Linked DNA regions of Caenorhabditis elegans. The protein of the gene in region 3 binds, or shares a complex with, the protein of the main gene of each other region. Each region holds a gene or a part of one and is shown on either strand. Other genes may lie near its edges.

Region 1 (4,637 bases), on a different chromosome or scaffold from region 3:
AATTTTGTCATTTTTTTCCCATAATTTGAAATGAATTTCTCACTTTCCTATTTTCGCTATTCTTTTCCGGTTTTTTCGGGGGGAAATCCTCGAAAAAGTGTAATTTTGCACTTGAATATTTTTTTTTTTAATAGTTTTTCTATTTTTTAGCTGAAAATTCAATTTTTAAACGTTTTTTCACATAAACCAACGTTTAACAGAAATTTTGTTTTAAAAATCGGTAAAAACCGAATAAAAAGTGAAAATTCGAAGAAAAATTTAGAAAAAAACAATTTTTATTCAAAAACTCTAATTTTGCTGTAAAAATTTGGAAAAAACTTATTTTCATCACATTTTTAGTCGCTAAATTCAATTTTCAGTCGAAAAATTGAATTTTCAAGCGAAATTTTGAATTTTCAGTCAGAAATTCTGCTAAAAATTGCAAATTTCATGAATTTTTCTTCAAAAATTTCATTTTTTAATGCCAAAATCCAATAAATTCCACAAAATCATAATTAAAATTCGAGTTTCAATTCCAAAAATTCTGAATTTTCCACAAAAAAAAGATTTTTTCCGCACTTGGTTGCTCACACTACAAACTACACAATTTTCTAGCCTCACTCAACTTTTGGTGAGGCTTAAAAAGTTGTAGTTTGTAGTGTCGGCCTCAACCAAATGCATTTTTCGAGCAATTTTAAGCCGAAAAGTCAGAAAAAACTCAACTTTTTGCCGAAAAACTTTGAAAAAATTAGATTTTCATAACATTTTTAGTCGAAAAATGAATTTTCCCGGTGAAAAATTAAATTTTTCAGCGAAATGATTGTAAATTTCATTTTTTTTCTTGAAAAGTCTAATTTTTATGCGAAAATCAATCAAATTTGAAGAAATAATAATTAAAATTCGAGTTTCATTCAAAAAACTGAGAACTTTCCCCAAAAAATTAGTTTTTCCGGAGTTGGTTGAGGCTCACACTACAAAAACTACAACATTTTCTAGCCTCGCCCAACCTTTGGTGAGGCTGAAAAAGTTGTAGTTTTTGTAGTGTGAGCCTCAACCAAATCCATTTTTCACTCAAAATCGAGCAATTTTGAGCAGAAAATCCATTTTTTCCGTGAAAAAATTTAAAAATTCGTGAATCATCAGGTTTTTAGAATTATTTTTAAAGTTATTATCGTAATTTTTTCCAATTTTCTACAAGTTTTTAGTCTCACCAAAAGTTGGTTGAGGCTAGAAAATGTTGTAGTTTGTAGTCTGTGCATTTTTTGGTGTTTTCTTCTTAATTTGCACAATTTTGATTCATTGTTTATTCGGAAAAATGGAAATTTTATCGATTTTCAAATTCAAATTAAATAAAAATTCAATTTTGAGACTAAATTAATGGTTTTTTTTTCGAATTTTTCAAAATTTCCGTTTTCTTTTTTTTCTCTGAAAATTTTCTAAAGAATATCAATAGACAGAACTCATGAATTTTCAAAATTCAAAATCTCTAAAACTCAAAATCGAGCAACTTTGAGCAGAAAATTCAGAAAATATTCAATTTTTTCGTGAAAATTTCTTGAAAAATTCGTGAATCTCCAGGTTTTTAAAATATTTTTCAAAATTTTTTATTGTAATTTTTTCCAGTAATGAACAATACACATCATCACACAAATGGGTATCGAACGGAAAAGCCAAAAAATGAAGAAGATCTAGAGGATCCTTACGCTAATCTCTCGGATTTCTACAAAAATCATCCGGCAGCACGGAATGAAGGTAGCGAAAATCGAAAAAAAAAACTTTGGAATTTCACTAATTTTTCATTTTTTTCATTTTTTCAGCATGTTCGTCAGCTTCTAATGGCGGCTCTAAAAGTGTGAAAATGGAGCCAAAAGTGGAAAAAAATGAAGAATTTGAAGAATATATTGGTGATCCTGTACGATTAGAAGATATGGAACCATTTGCAAGACCATCACTTCGAGATGATGCACCACTTTCATCTATTTTACATCCGGATCTTGATGGAATTGATCCGAGGTACTGAAAACCACAAATTTCTGTTGAAATTGACGTTTTTTACCGGAAATTTCCACGAAAAACTCAAAAATTCTATCAAAAATCACTGAAAATTGGGAAATTTGACAAAAAATTTCATTTCCTGCCGAATCCTGTAATGTGTAGTATGAGATGTGTGTGGTATAAAAATTGACAAATTTTAATTTAATAACATTAAAAAAAATTTCATTTTTCTCTAAAAACTTTATTTTTTTTTCCATTTTTACAAACTTTTTTATAAAATCACCCGAAAATTCGAATTTTCTTCGGAAAATCTATTTTAAAAACTCTGAAAATTGCTCGAAAATGACATTTTTTGAATAAAGTATTCCAAAAATGCTCAAAACGTGCTGTTTCTTCCAAAATTCCATAATTTTCTTTTAAAATTCCGCAAAATTTGCTTGCCCTTGAAATTGAAAACTGAAATTTTTTGAATTTCCCGCCAAAAGTCGATTTGGAAAGAGTTTTTGCTGGAAAAATCAAAAATTTCGACAAAAAATCGTAAAATGGGATTTTTTTTTCAAAATTTTTCGAAAAAAAATCGAGTAAAAGTGACGATTTTTTTTTCAATTTTTGTTGAATAAATCGAATATTCAGTAAAATTTTCATTTTTTTTTCTCGAAAAATTGATAGAAATTCTAATTTCGTTGGAAAAAACAAATTTTCACTTTTTTTAAGCATGAAAAGCGCCATTATTTCAAAAAATTGGCAAACATTTGCCGAAATTCGAATTTCGCGCAAAAATCGAATAAAAGTGACGATTTTTGTTGGAAAAATCGAATTTTCACTGAAATGTTGGGTTTTGTTTTATTCGAAAATTGAAAATTGAAATTCGAATTTTGCTCCAAAAGTCAGTTTTCCAATGAAGTTTCATAAAAACACACAAATACACAATTTTTAAGTCAAAAAACCCGAAAATTGGCAATTTCTGCAAAAATTCCTTTAAAAAACTCAAAAATTCACTCAAAAATCGTTGAAACCCGTGTCACTTTTCCCCGAAAAAACCCACAATTTTTCCACACAAACCCATGGTTTTCCTAGCCATCAGAAATCTCATGTAAAACTCGAAAATTTGCTTTAAAATTGTTAAACCTTTTTTTCGAGCCAAAAAAGCCAAAAAAAGCCTGAAAATTGGCCAATTTCTGCAAAAATTCCAAAAAAAATGGTTGAAACCCGTCATTTTTCCCCTGAAAACTGGTTTTTCTCGCCGAAAAACTCGAAATTTTGATGTAAAATTGCTAAAAACTGCTAATTTCTTCTAGAATTCCATAATTCTCTGTTAAAATTTCCAAAAAAATTCCGAAAATTCGCCAAAAATTCACGCAAATCACTGAAAACCCCCATTTTTCCGCAAAATCCTTTAATTTTATTTTCAGAATCTTCTTCAAAGACTTCAATCCAAACAAAACTCTTCGTTTCTCTCGACTTTTTGCTCAAAATATCAAACATACGTCCCGTGCCGAGATCTGGTGGGCTTCCCGAACCTTCTCCAAACATCAACGCAAAAAAGAGCCCGAAGAGCCCCTCGCTGATGACGTCATCGTTGGAGCCAAAAAGCTGAAGCTTAACATCATTGAGAAGGTGCCACGTGTCATGTTGGCTGACGATGAAGAAGAACGAATGCGGAGACCGATACTGACGGATGCAGAGGAAATGGCAAAGAAAAATGAAGAGGGTACGGTAGTTCAGCCGTGGAGAACGGGTCCCGCCAAGATTTGGTATGATATGATGAATTTGCCGATGACTAGTCAAGCTGTTAATTATGGATTCAAACTGAAGGTAAAAATAATGAAAATTTGCAGAAAATCGGCTGAAAATTGCTCAAAAAAATGGAATTTCCTTTGAAAAACTGACTTAAAAATGGCTGAAATTGGCTAAAAATGATCAAAATTAAAGTTTCCTGGTAAAAAATACACTGAAAATGGCTGAAAAATGGCTGAAATTCGCCAAAAATTGAAGTTTTCAATAAAAAAAACCCTAAAAATCGCACTAAAAATCTGAAAAAATTACCAAAAAAGCGCAAATTTGACACAGTTTGCTCAAAAAAATTTGGTTGAAGCTAGAAAATTTCGTAGTTTGTAGTATGAGCCTCAACCAAAATTGAGAATTTTAAATTGGTTGAGGCTAAAAAGTTGTAGTTTGTAGTATGAGCCTCAACCAAAATTGAGAATTTTAAATTGGTTGAGGCTAAAAAGTTGTAGTTTGTAGTGTGAGCCTCAACCAAAATTGAGAACTTTAAATTGGTTGAGGCTAGAAAATGTTGTAGTTTGTAGTGTGAGCCTCACCCAAAATTGGTTGAGGCTAGAAAATGTTGTAGTTTGTAGTGTGAGCCTCACCTTAAATTGGTTGAGGCTAAAAAAGTTGTAGTTTGTAGTGTGAGCCTCAACCAAAATTGGTTGAGGCTAGAAAATGTTGTAGTTTGTAGTGTGAGCCTCACTCAACAATATATTTTTAGTTGAAAAACGTGATTTTCAGTCAATTTTTGATAATTTTTAACTAAAAATTCCTGAAAAATATAATTTCCAGCTCAATTCCGACAATTTTCCGGTTATTTTCACGGCTTAAACAGCATTTCATGAGTTTTCAGACAATTTTCGGTCATCTTAGACAATTTCATCTCATTTTGT
Region 2 (7,683 bases), on a different chromosome or scaffold from region 3:
TCGCCCGCGGCCTCCTCGATCGACGAAACCGGTGCCTCCACCTGAAAAAAACATATCAATATTTGATCTATTTCAATCAAGCACGAACCTCTGCCTCTTGCTACAAATCCTCTGTTGTTATAACTGCCCTCTTCCGGCTTCTTCTTTTCCTTTTTGGCTCCTTTCTGTTCAGTCCACGAGTCAAGTTTATCTCCAGCATCCAGAATGTGATCGATTGCGCCGTAAAGATTGTTGTCAGTATCCAATAGCGCTATCTCAGCTTGTGCTTGTGTACATCCGGTGGTTTCGATAATCTGAAAATGAAAAAGACATGAGCAGTGAAAAAACCCCTCTTGGGAATGCGCGAACACTTTAATTAGCCCAAATGAGTAGGACATCTGGGTACTCTTACTCTCGCTGCACCATCTCAAGCGCGGACACCTGCTTTTGTCCTTTTATTTGCCATCTGGCCCCGTCTTATCGATTCGAAATTCCTATTGACACTGAAAGCGGACACTAGAGAAGTTCAAAACAACAAAGTCACGTGCGTCATCATGTCGGTGTGTGGCGAGCGTTCGCGTGATGCAAAGATCACTATTTTCAGGAAAGCGTCATTTCCAGCTTGGAGACTTACCGTCTTGATCATAAACTGTATGTCCTCCTCATTTCCGGAATTTCCTTCCAGTGTGAGTCGTGCAAGTCGCGCTTGATCGCTGGTAGCTTTTTTGTCGCCTTTAATACCCATTCTGAAAACAAATTATAAATAAAAAGGGTCAGTCATGTGAACGCAAGAATGGAATGAGAATCACGAGAATACAACTATCAAAGGAAGGTTGAATGAAAGGAAGGTCAAATAGATGACAAAAGTAGGAAAAGAACGAAATATGGAACCTTCCAGATCAAAAAAACATTATCAAAAGAAAAGCCTCGCACAGAAGACTCTAACGAACATGTTAGGATGAAGAAATATTTCAGCAATACATCACGTTGAACTTTGGAGGATATTCTAGAGAAGAAAACCCCTACATTTTACAATAATTTTGAAATGGAATTCGAATGAACTGCTATACAATGGAGAATCCTATTTAGCGATGATAAAGTGTAGGCTTGTTACTAGATTGAATAAAAATTTCGAAATGTAACAATACATTGACTGAAAATTTGGGTATTTCAGAGTGTGATATCACAAAAATCAATATTTCCACTAAACTCAAAAGTTCTTACGCTGAAAAATCATTAAAAAATTGAAAAATCACCGCAAGCTAGACTAGAATCGCGTTCAAATCTCGCAAATTCCCGCAGTTGAAAATGCGGGCGACCGCGACGCGAGCCGCAACGCACCCCTCCAAACATGCGGCATGGGTCTCGCCACGACCGAAAGTACGGTCACTCTTGGCAGTATAAAAGGCGACCATTTTCCGCTATTTTCCGGTAAATTTTCAAATGAAACTGTGTTGCGGAGGGGGTTTTCCGCTAATTTTGCGGAAATTTAGCTATTTAATGTGAAAATGTGAATAAAACAAAAGAAAGTGGGGAGGAATAGCAAGGAAACACACTGTTGAACCCTGGGAATTATCGATTTTGTATGAACTCTTCTTTTATGGCGTCGAAATTATCGACACGAAAACTCAAAACCTTGTCACATTTCTGAGAGAGAAATATCATTTTCAGCACACATGAGTCTTCCCAGATTTCGACTCGTTCAGGGAAAGGCGATCGGCGAGCGATCAACGCCAGGAGTCAGCACACCAGAGCCGGTAATTGTTTTTTTTTATTTCAAAATTTCTACAACAACAAAAAGAACTAACAATAATTTATTCCTTTGATTCCAGGCCCCTCCGCAAATAAAGCAGGAAGTCGACTACCAAGATGCTCATCAAATGGCTCCGGAACCCGTGGAAGCACCCCGTAAATATTTAAAAATTTAAAAAAGTTAGAAAAAAAATTTGAATCCCAATTTTCAGAGGCTCAAAACCATCAAATGCAGCCGCCTCGTCAACCTATACAACAGCAGATGCAGCATTTTCAGTCACCATCGCCAATGGCTCCACAAGGGCCGCCCGGGACTCCACAAAACTCTGCAGCGGCGGCCGCCGCTGCTTCAGATGACAAAAACGTGACAAAATGCGTCCGCTTTCTGAAAACTTTAATTAATCTGTCGAATAACGATGATCCAGAAATGCCGGACAAGGCCGCCCGTGTCAAAGAGCTAATTCGAGTGAGGAATTGAGCGAAAAACGCGATAAAAACCGGACAAATTCGGATATTTCAGGGCGTAATTTATCTGGAAACGACGGCTGAAGAGTTTACACGAAATCTGCAACAAGTGCTCAAATCTCAGGCTCAACCGCATCTTTTACCATTCCTTCAGAATACTCTTCCGGCATTGAGGAATGCTGTTCGAAATGGTTCGGTTTTATGTGCAAAAAAATTAAAATCGACAAAAAAAAAATCATCGAAAAACAGGAAAATTTGAGTTGAAAAGCAGCGAAAAACTTGAATTTAACATAAAAAATTGCAAAAAATCCGTTGAATTACATTTTTCAAGAAATTGTGTAGAAATTCCATGAAAAAAATTCAAAATTTCCAAATTTTTTGGCTATTTCTAGTCAATTTCTTTAAAATTCCATTTTTGATAGCGAAAATTATCAAGTTTCTAACAATTTCAAGCTGTTTTTGGTGATTTTTTCAATTTTTCGGCTTTGAAATTCCATTTTCCGGAGTATATTGTCATAATATATCCGAGTTCCACAAAATTGAGCAAAAAAAATTAAAAATTTCCCTTTATTTAAAAATATTTTCAGCTGTCAGTAATATATGGATTTTCCGCAATTTTTCTCACAATTTTGAGCAAATTCCTGATTTTCAGCCAATTTATAAGGATTTTCACCCATTTTCATAATTTAGGGCTATTTTCAGCTGAAAAATTGTAATTTAAAGTTTTTAAAATTTTTATAGATTTTCTCAAATTTCAGCTCAAAAATTCGATTTTCAAGCGCATTTCCAGGCAATTTATTAAGATTTTCACCAATTTTTTTAGCTTAAAATTTAAAATTTCCACATTTTTTGTCTATTTCCAGTAAATTTCTTTAAAATTCTATTTTTGAAAGCAAAAATTATCAAGTTTATCGCACTTTTTCAATTTTTCCGGAGTATATTTTGGTAATTTATCCGAGTTCCACGAAATTGAGCAAAACAATTATTTAAAAACTTCCCTTTATTTAGAGCTATTTCCGCAAATTTTCTCGCAATTTTCACGCAATTTTCATAATTCAGGGCTATTTTCAGCTGAAAAATTGCAATTTAAAGTTTTTAAAATGTTTATAGATTTTCTCAACATTCAGCTCAAAAATTCGATTTTGAGGCGCATTTCCAGGCAATTTATGAGGATTTTTACCTATTTTCTAGATTAAAAATCTTTTTTTTTCCTCAATTTTGGACTATTTTCCCTAATTTTCAAATTTCCAGGCACTGCATCAGTTGAAGGCGTAAATCCACCGCCTGGCTACGTTTTCAACAATGGAAGAACCCCAGGACCCCCTCAGCCACCTCCACCTCAACAACAATCCCAGCAGCAGCCACCACTAGAAATGCGTCAAATTCCGAATCCGAATCAAATACCCCCACAAATGGTTCAAGGGGGTCCCCATATGGTATCTGTAGGCGCCCGGCCAATGATCAGGCCTATGGGCCCCGGCGGCCCAAGCCCAATGGGCCTACAAGGCCCCGTACGAGGGCCGATGGGACATCAGATGGTCCAGATGCATCCTCCTCCCCCACCACAGCAGATTCAACAGCAGCACCCGGCTCCCCCTGTAGAAATGGAGGTGGAAGAGAATTTACAGCCTACCGCGGCGGCCACGGCCACGAGGCAATATCCTGAAGGATCGCTGAAATCGTCGATTCTGAAGCCGGATGAGGTGCTGAATAGGATCACGAAACGAATGATGTCATCGTGTTCGGTGGAAGAGGAGGCGCTTGTCGCGATTTCAGATGCTGTTGAGTCGCATTTAAGGGAACTTATTACACTGATGGCCGGAGTTGCAGAACATCGGGTGGAGAGTTTGAGGTATTGAGGAGAATTGATTTTGCTTCAAAATACGGCAGCGAAAAAAAAATTAAGCAAAAATAAGGAAATTATTGAAGAAAAATCGTCTTAAAAACAATTTTACATTAAAAAAAAAGATTTTTAAATTTCAAAGGTTCCGAACTATTTATTAAAAAAACATCTAGATTTTGTTTTAAAATCCAAACAAAAAACATTGCTGAAACGCGGTAATTTTTTTTCAAAAAAATATAAAAATCTGAGAAATATTTTCAAAAATATCTCCAATTTTCCCCTGATTCCGAATATCTATTCGAAAAAATTCAAAAAAAAAATTTCCCTTTATATTTCAGCTTGAAATCGCTTTGTGCATGCACACCATGAGATTTTTCAAATGCGCGCCCAGATAAATTCTCATTGGGGCGCACTTGCTTCGTGTCGATTTACGGGAGCTCTTCATTTTTAAATTTCTTTTAAGCTTTTTTTTTCAGTTTTTCAACGAGTTTCCTTGATCTTCGTCGATTTTTTGTCATTTTTTTTCCTGAAATTTTGTTTTGTGTCAATTTGAAAATTTTTTAGGTCAAAACTCCTGTGTTCGTCGAGATCTGACGTAAAAATATAAAATTCCGGGAGTTTTGAGATATAAAAAAAATATTTTAAAAATTTCAGAAAAAAAACTGACAAAAAAGCGACAAAATAAAAGAAACGCGCAAAAAAAAAAAAAAAAAACTTAAAAAAGCACGAATAAATTTTTTTAAAAAATGGAGAGCTGCCGTAAATCGACACGAAGCAAGCATAAAAAAATGGCTTTTTTCCTAACAATTTTTTGTGAAAAATCCGAATTTTCCATCCTAAACACTACAAAAGATTCCAGAATTCCGGAGAACTACGTGGCAATTGATGACGTCAAACGGCAACTTCGATTCCTTGAAGATTTGGATCGTCAAGAGGAAGAATTAAGGGAAAGTCGAGAAAAAGAGTCGCTAATTCGAATGAGCAAGAATAAGAATAGTGGAAAAGAGACGATTGAAAAAGCGAAAGAAATGCAACGACAAGATGCTGAAGCGAAAAGGAATCGAGATGCGAATGCGGCTGCAATTGCAGCACTTTCCAGTAATAAAACTGTCAAGAATAAGTTCGTTTTTAGCGTGAAATTTGCAGAAAAATTATTTTTAAAAAATAGATTTAAAAAAAACAATTTCCTGACCAAGGGTGTCATTTTTCGATTTTTCGGTTTTCAAAAATTCGAAAAATGAAAGTTTCGTTTTTCGATTAAAAAACTGAAAAACCGACACCTTTGTTTCTGAGATTTGGATTTAGAAATAAGCAAAAAAAAATTATTCAGAAAAAATTGTTTTACAATGCTGCAAAATCGATGAAAAAATAAAATAAATCAATAACTAATTTCTAAAAAATGGAAAAAAATTTCGTTTTTTTCGAATTTGTATTTCACAAAAAAAAATTTTTAGAATAAAAATTTTCAATTAAAAAATTACTATTTAAAATCACTGAAAAAAAATGAAAAAAATAGAAAATTCAGAAAAATAGCGAAAAAAAAGTTTTTTTCCAGAAATTTCGTTAAAACGATCAAGATTTTAACCCTAAAATTTAGATAAAATCAATTTCTTGTGGTTCTTAATTTAAAAAAAAAAACAGTACTTTCCAGTAATAAAACTTTCAAGAATAAATTCGTTTTTAGTGCGAAATTCGCAAAAAAAATTACGAAAAAGTGAAAATAGAAGCTGAAAGGAAAAATGTTTAAAAAATAAGAATATTTTCGACATTAATTGGTTTTTATATATATTTTTTTGTAGAAGTTTAAAAAAATTACTAAAATCACTGAAAAAATTGAAAAAAATTTTAAAATCTGGAAAAAAAGCAACAAAAAATTAATTTTTCCAGAAATTTCGTTGAACTATTCGGTATTTTAAGCCTAAAATCAAGATACAATCAATTTGAACAAAATTTGCTTTAAAAATACTAAAAATTCGAAAGAAATAGAAAAAAAAAGAAATTTTCGAAATTTGGATTTATTGTTAGAGAAAAGCTGAACACTTACAAAAAATTAATTTTTTACGTTTTGAGAAAAATTTTTGAAAAAAAAAATCGATTTTTAAATAATTTTTAGAATTTTTTAGAACTATAATTTTTGAATTTCAGTGACTTATAATCACAGAAAAAAATGAACGAAAAACAAATGAACATCTTTTCGGCAAAAAAACGTATTTTAAAAAAAAATTTAAATTTCTAGTGACTTTGAAAAAAAAACCACATTTTCCAATAATTTCCAGGAATAAACTAAATTTCTTTGGAGAAATTTGAAATTTATTTCACATTTCGAAAAAATTTATATAGAAATAAAAATTTATATGAAAATAAAAAATTTGCAGCTCCTTCCAGTAATGAAACTGTCATTTGTTGAAAATTAGTTTTTTTTTAATTTAGAAATTCTCTTTTCGAAAAAAAAGGTTTTTTTAAAACTTGATTAAAAATTAATTCATTTTTTTCCAAAATTAGGGAAAAAATAATTTCTAAAAAATTAGACAAATACACTTTTTTGTTGAAAAAAACAACATTTTCCAATAATTTTCTTTTTTTTTAAATTGCTTCCACTAAATTCACTTTTTGAAGAAATTTTTTGAAATTTTTACTGAAAATTGTTGGAAAATTATTAAATGTGCATTTTTTTGCAATTTCCAGTTGATAAACTAATTTCGGTTCAATTTAAAATAAATTTCGAAAACCAATTTCAAAAAATTCATTTTTTACAATTTGTTTTTGTTGATAAAACGAGCTAGTTTCTACCAAAATACCGCTTTTTTACATTGAAAATTTAAATTTCAGATGGGAAAACACGGGCGCCGCAACGACAGCACCTCGTCCACGAACAGTACGTGTAACAACTCGTGATCTACATCTTTTAGTCAATCAGGATAGCCGATTCACAGGGTAGCGATTTTTTTTGTTTAAAAAATTTTTTTAAAAAACACCGTATTAAACATTGATTTTTATTGGAAAAAACTGATTTAAAAATTTTTCAAAAAACTTTCAAACGAATGGTAGTTTTTAATATTTTAATTTTAAAAAATTCCAATAAAAATCAATTTTTATACGATTTAAAAAAATTTTGAAAAGTTATCCAATTTTCTCCTAAAAAAACTCATTTTTTTTCCAGAACATTCATCCGTGAAAAGATGTCATACGGTGGTCCGGCAGTCGATACAACTATCTGAACTAAAGAAATCTCATGGAAAAAGGAGCGAAAATTCTGCTTTTCTCGTTTTCTTTTTTTAAATTTAATTTTATTTTTCCACAAATTAAAACAATCACTTTTTTCCAGTCAAATAATAATTATTTCTCATTTTTAAACGAAATGCTAGACATAAAAAAAAGCTTCTTTTTCAGCTTTTCAGCCAAAAATTTCAGATTTTTCAGAAAAAATTCAACAACAAAAAATTGGCAAAGTGCAAAAAAACCAGAATTAGATATTAAAAATACAGGAAAAATCGAGAAAAATGAGTTACAATTCAGAAAATTAGGCAATTTTTTTTTCAAAATTTCTCAAAAACACTGAAATTTCGGTATTTTTTTCTCTACTTGAGCACAACCTCGTGTTGCACCAATCGAACATAGTCTTTGAGCGTCGGTGGAAGTGGAAG
Region 3 (3,082 bases):
CTGAGGCATGACGCAAGTATACTTATAGTCCTGCTAGATCGCAGAATCATGAAAATGACAGCTTTTGCACCAATTCTCGAAATATAATTATAGTTGCAAGAGAATTGTTTGACGTCACTGCACTTTTATTTTGAATTTTTTTTTCGAAAATTGATAATTTGCATTGAAAGCAGGGATGGGCGGCAAAAGATTTTTCCGGCAAATCGGCAAATTGCCGGATTCGAAAATGTCCGGCAAATCGGCAAATTGCCGTATTTGAAAATGCCCGGCAAATCGGCAAATTGTCTTATTTGAAAATGACCGGCAAATCGGCAAATGCCCGGAATCGAAAATGTCCGGCAAATCGGCAAATTCCCGGATTTGAAAATGTCCCGCAAATCGGCAAATTGCCGGATTCAAAAATGTCCGGCAAATCGGCAAATTGCCGATTTTCCGAATTTGCTGAAAAACGGCAATTGCCGAAAATTTTCGGCAAATTGTGGTTTTTCTTGAAAATTCGGCAAATCTGCAAAAATTTCCGGTTTGCCGATTTAAAAATAGATCCCTCTCAACACTTCCGCCAAATGGGTATCCGGCAAACGGCAAATGGTCGCTTTGCCAAAAAATGAAAATTTCCGGCAAATCGGCAAGCTGGCAAATTGCCGGAACCAAACATTTCCGGCAAATCGGCAAACCGACAATTTGCCGCCCACCCCTGATTGAAAGTACACTAAAAATCAAAATTCTAATCAATTAAAAATCTAAAATTTTCTAGTTAATAATTTTTTGATTCTTTCCAAATGAACCGAGATATACGCTGCCAGAGTGGTATAGACCTAAAGTTTTGGGTCGCTGAAAATCACAAGAGATAACGCGCTCCACGGCCAATTTAAAACGCCCCGCCCCTGAACCATGGGTCTCGTTAGGTATTTAGCGGTTTTTTCAAACTTTTTCAACTATTTTCGGGATTTTGGCAATTTTGAAGCATTTTTCGTTGTTTTTAAAGAATTTTCTGCCAAAACATTAACGATGTTTGAAAATTCACGTGAAATTGACCATTTGCTTTTTTTAAAATCAATTTTTACATTATAATTCATTGAAAATAACGGCAAATGCTTGAAAATTAGCGAAATTTACGCAACTAATCAAAAAAATTTGAATTTACGGTTTTGCCGCCGAATACCTAACGAGACCCGCGGGTTCGGGGGCGGAGCGTTTTTGGACAGTTTCTCTCTGCCCCTATAATACAGACTTTTTTTCTAAAATTTCCCTGAAATATTAATTTGGGAGCGTATTACAGCTACTTTACGAATTTGATGAAATATTCATGTTCTGATTTTTGAACCGCTAAAGTTGTCTAGAAACATTTGAATTAACGATGATTACCGGGAATTAAATAGTAAAAACTTTTTAAACTTTAATTTTTAAAACTAAATTAATTGAAGAATTAATTTTAATCAAAATTTTCAACGTGCGTTCGCCCAATTCTGTTTGATTTAGCCCTCTTATTACCAGAAAAGGGCCACGAAAGCGTTCACCAAAATTGTGTGCGCACGCATTACGAAAACGCGCGCCGCACATTGCAAGTGGGCGGAGCGCCGCACCACGAGACTTTTTTAAAGTTTAAACCCTCGTGCCGCTGCCATTGGTTTTTGGGGGAACTTTTTGAGCTTTTAAATACGAATTTTTATTGTAAAGATATGTTTAAACAAATTAGTAATAACTTTTCAACGAAATACTCGCTTTAAATTATCTTTCAACCTAAAAAAAATTCAAAAATTTCCCGAATTTCAGCAAAAATGAATGATCCAGAGCAATATGAGCCTTCTTCGTCGACAGAAAGCGTCCTGATGCCTCCACCCGCACTTCCACAGGTTTTTTATCGATTTAATTGATTAAAATTAACCGATTTAAAGTATTTTCAGCGGCCAGCAGCAGCTCCACAAGTTTACTCCACTCTTGAGCCATCTGTTCAAAATTTAAGGTTTGTTTTTGTTCAGGGTTAATGACATTATGACAAGACAAAAATTATTAACAAATAATTTCAGATCGTCGTTGCACAAGCCTCTCACCGGAAATCAGCAACAATTTGTGCAGAAAACGCTGGAAAATGTTCAGAAAAATCCATCGCAAGACGACACACACGAGTTCATCAATCAGCTCGCCGACTATCCGCCGACGATTCCCGATTCTGTAACATTGCACTTCTTGAAGTCTGCCGGTGTTGATGGATCGGATCCGCGAGTGACTAGAATGATCTCGCTGGCGGCTCAAAAACATGTTTCGGATATTATTCTTGACGCGATGACAAGTGTATGGTTTAGAATTTGCAAAAGAAAATCCAAGTTTTTTTACAAGAACAATTTCAGGCTCGTATGAAAGGTCTCGGACAGACGAAAAAAGGAACGAAAGACACAAAATACACGCTCACAGAGGAACTTCTCGATGAAATTCTCAAAGAATACGGACACCAGAACACTCGTCCACCATATCACACCTAATTTATAATATACCAACATGATACTCCTCAATGGGTTTTATAATGCTTTACATTTATTTTCCTGTTTTATGAATTTATGCCGTTTTCCTATATACCAATTATCCAAGTGGCTCTTTTTTGCCATTTTATGCTTCTCCTTTGTTTTAATTTTCAGTTCTATTTAACCCATTTTTCTCTAGAACACCCCCAACAATGCCAATGCCATTCACACGCGACGATGACTATGACAGTGATCCAGAAGTTCAGGCGGAGAAGGAAATGGCCAAGAAAGATCCAATCGGCTTTGCGATCGACTCGAGCTCGCTGACTTCGATGAAGAAGGCGGCGGCTGCGGCCGCGAAGGATCAGGTCTCCACAACTCCACCAAATCTAGTCATCGGAAGCAATGGAGGCGCCGGCACGATCGCAACCGTCCCCCGTTCCAAGTGTGGGTGCTGGAGCTCAAGCTCAAATGAAAGAAATTCGTGATGAAAAGTTCAAAATTTCGGCCAATTTTGACAACTTTTCCGAGTTGCAAAGCTCGGAAATTGACTTTGTTCGATTTATCATCCTTGTTTGCACATTCTGATAGTTTATCTCACATTATTTCGTTGATTAATGTGC

Evidence for each region. Proteins that work in one complex are often made in the same cells at the same time.
Region 1: taf-10 (region 3) and taf-1 share a complex: the UniProt entries of both Caenorhabditis elegans proteins name them as parts of the TFIID basal transcription factor complex.
Region 2: taf-10 (region 3) and taf-4 share a complex: the UniProt entries of both Caenorhabditis elegans proteins name them as parts of the TFIID basal transcription factor complex.

The regions. Positions count from the first base shown.
Region 1 is NC_003279.8:13,859,872-13,864,508, forward strand, and holds the start of taf-1 (Transcription initiation factor TFIID subunit 1), read left to right. Parts: upstream 1-1,602; 5' UTR 1,603-1,604; coding exon 1,605-1,731; intron 1,732-1,796; coding exon 1,797-1,992; intron 1,993-3,386; coding exon 3,387-3,789; intron 3,790-4,637. UniProt on the Caenorhabditis elegans protein: The TFIID basal transcription factor complex plays a major role in the initiation of RNA polymerase II (Pol II)-dependent transcription.
Region 2 is NC_003279.8:381,178-388,860, forward strand, and holds taf-4 (Transcription initiation factor TFIID subunit 4), read left to right. Parts: upstream 1-1,648; 5' UTR 1,649-1,655; coding exon 1,656-1,736; intron 1,737-1,811; coding exon 1,812-1,887; intron 1,888-1,943; coding exon 1,944-2,197; intron 2,198-2,251; coding exon 2,252-2,387; intron 2,388-3,447; coding exon 3,448-4,048; intron 4,049-4,898; coding exon 4,899-5,159; intron 5,160-6,868; coding exon 6,869-6,973; intron 6,974-7,199; coding exon 7,200-7,257; 3' UTR 7,258-7,387; downstream 7,388-7,683. Other genes in the region: Prion-like (glutamine/asparagine-rich) domain bearing protein pqn-59, read right to left, coding at 1-41, 89-293, 614-724; R119.5 (Protein-L-isoaspartate O-methyltransferase domain-containing protein 1), read right to left, coding at 7,618-7,683. UniProt on the Caenorhabditis elegans protein: The TFIID basal transcription factor complex plays a major role in the initiation of RNA polymerase II (Pol II)-dependent transcription.
Region 3 is NC_003283.11:4,685,336-4,688,417, forward strand, and holds taf-10 (Transcription initiation factor TFIID subunit 10), read left to right. Parts: upstream 1-1,767; 5' UTR 1,768-1,778; coding exon 1,779-1,853; intron 1,854-1,895; coding exon 1,896-1,963; intron 1,964-2,027; coding exon 2,028-2,292; intron 2,293-2,348; coding exon 2,349-2,480; 3' UTR 2,481-2,564; downstream 2,565-3,082. Other genes in the region: K03B4.2 (HUN domain-containing protein), read left to right, coding at 2,672-2,906. UniProt on the Caenorhabditis elegans protein: The TFIID basal transcription factor complex plays a major role in the initiation of RNA polymerase II (Pol II)-dependent transcription.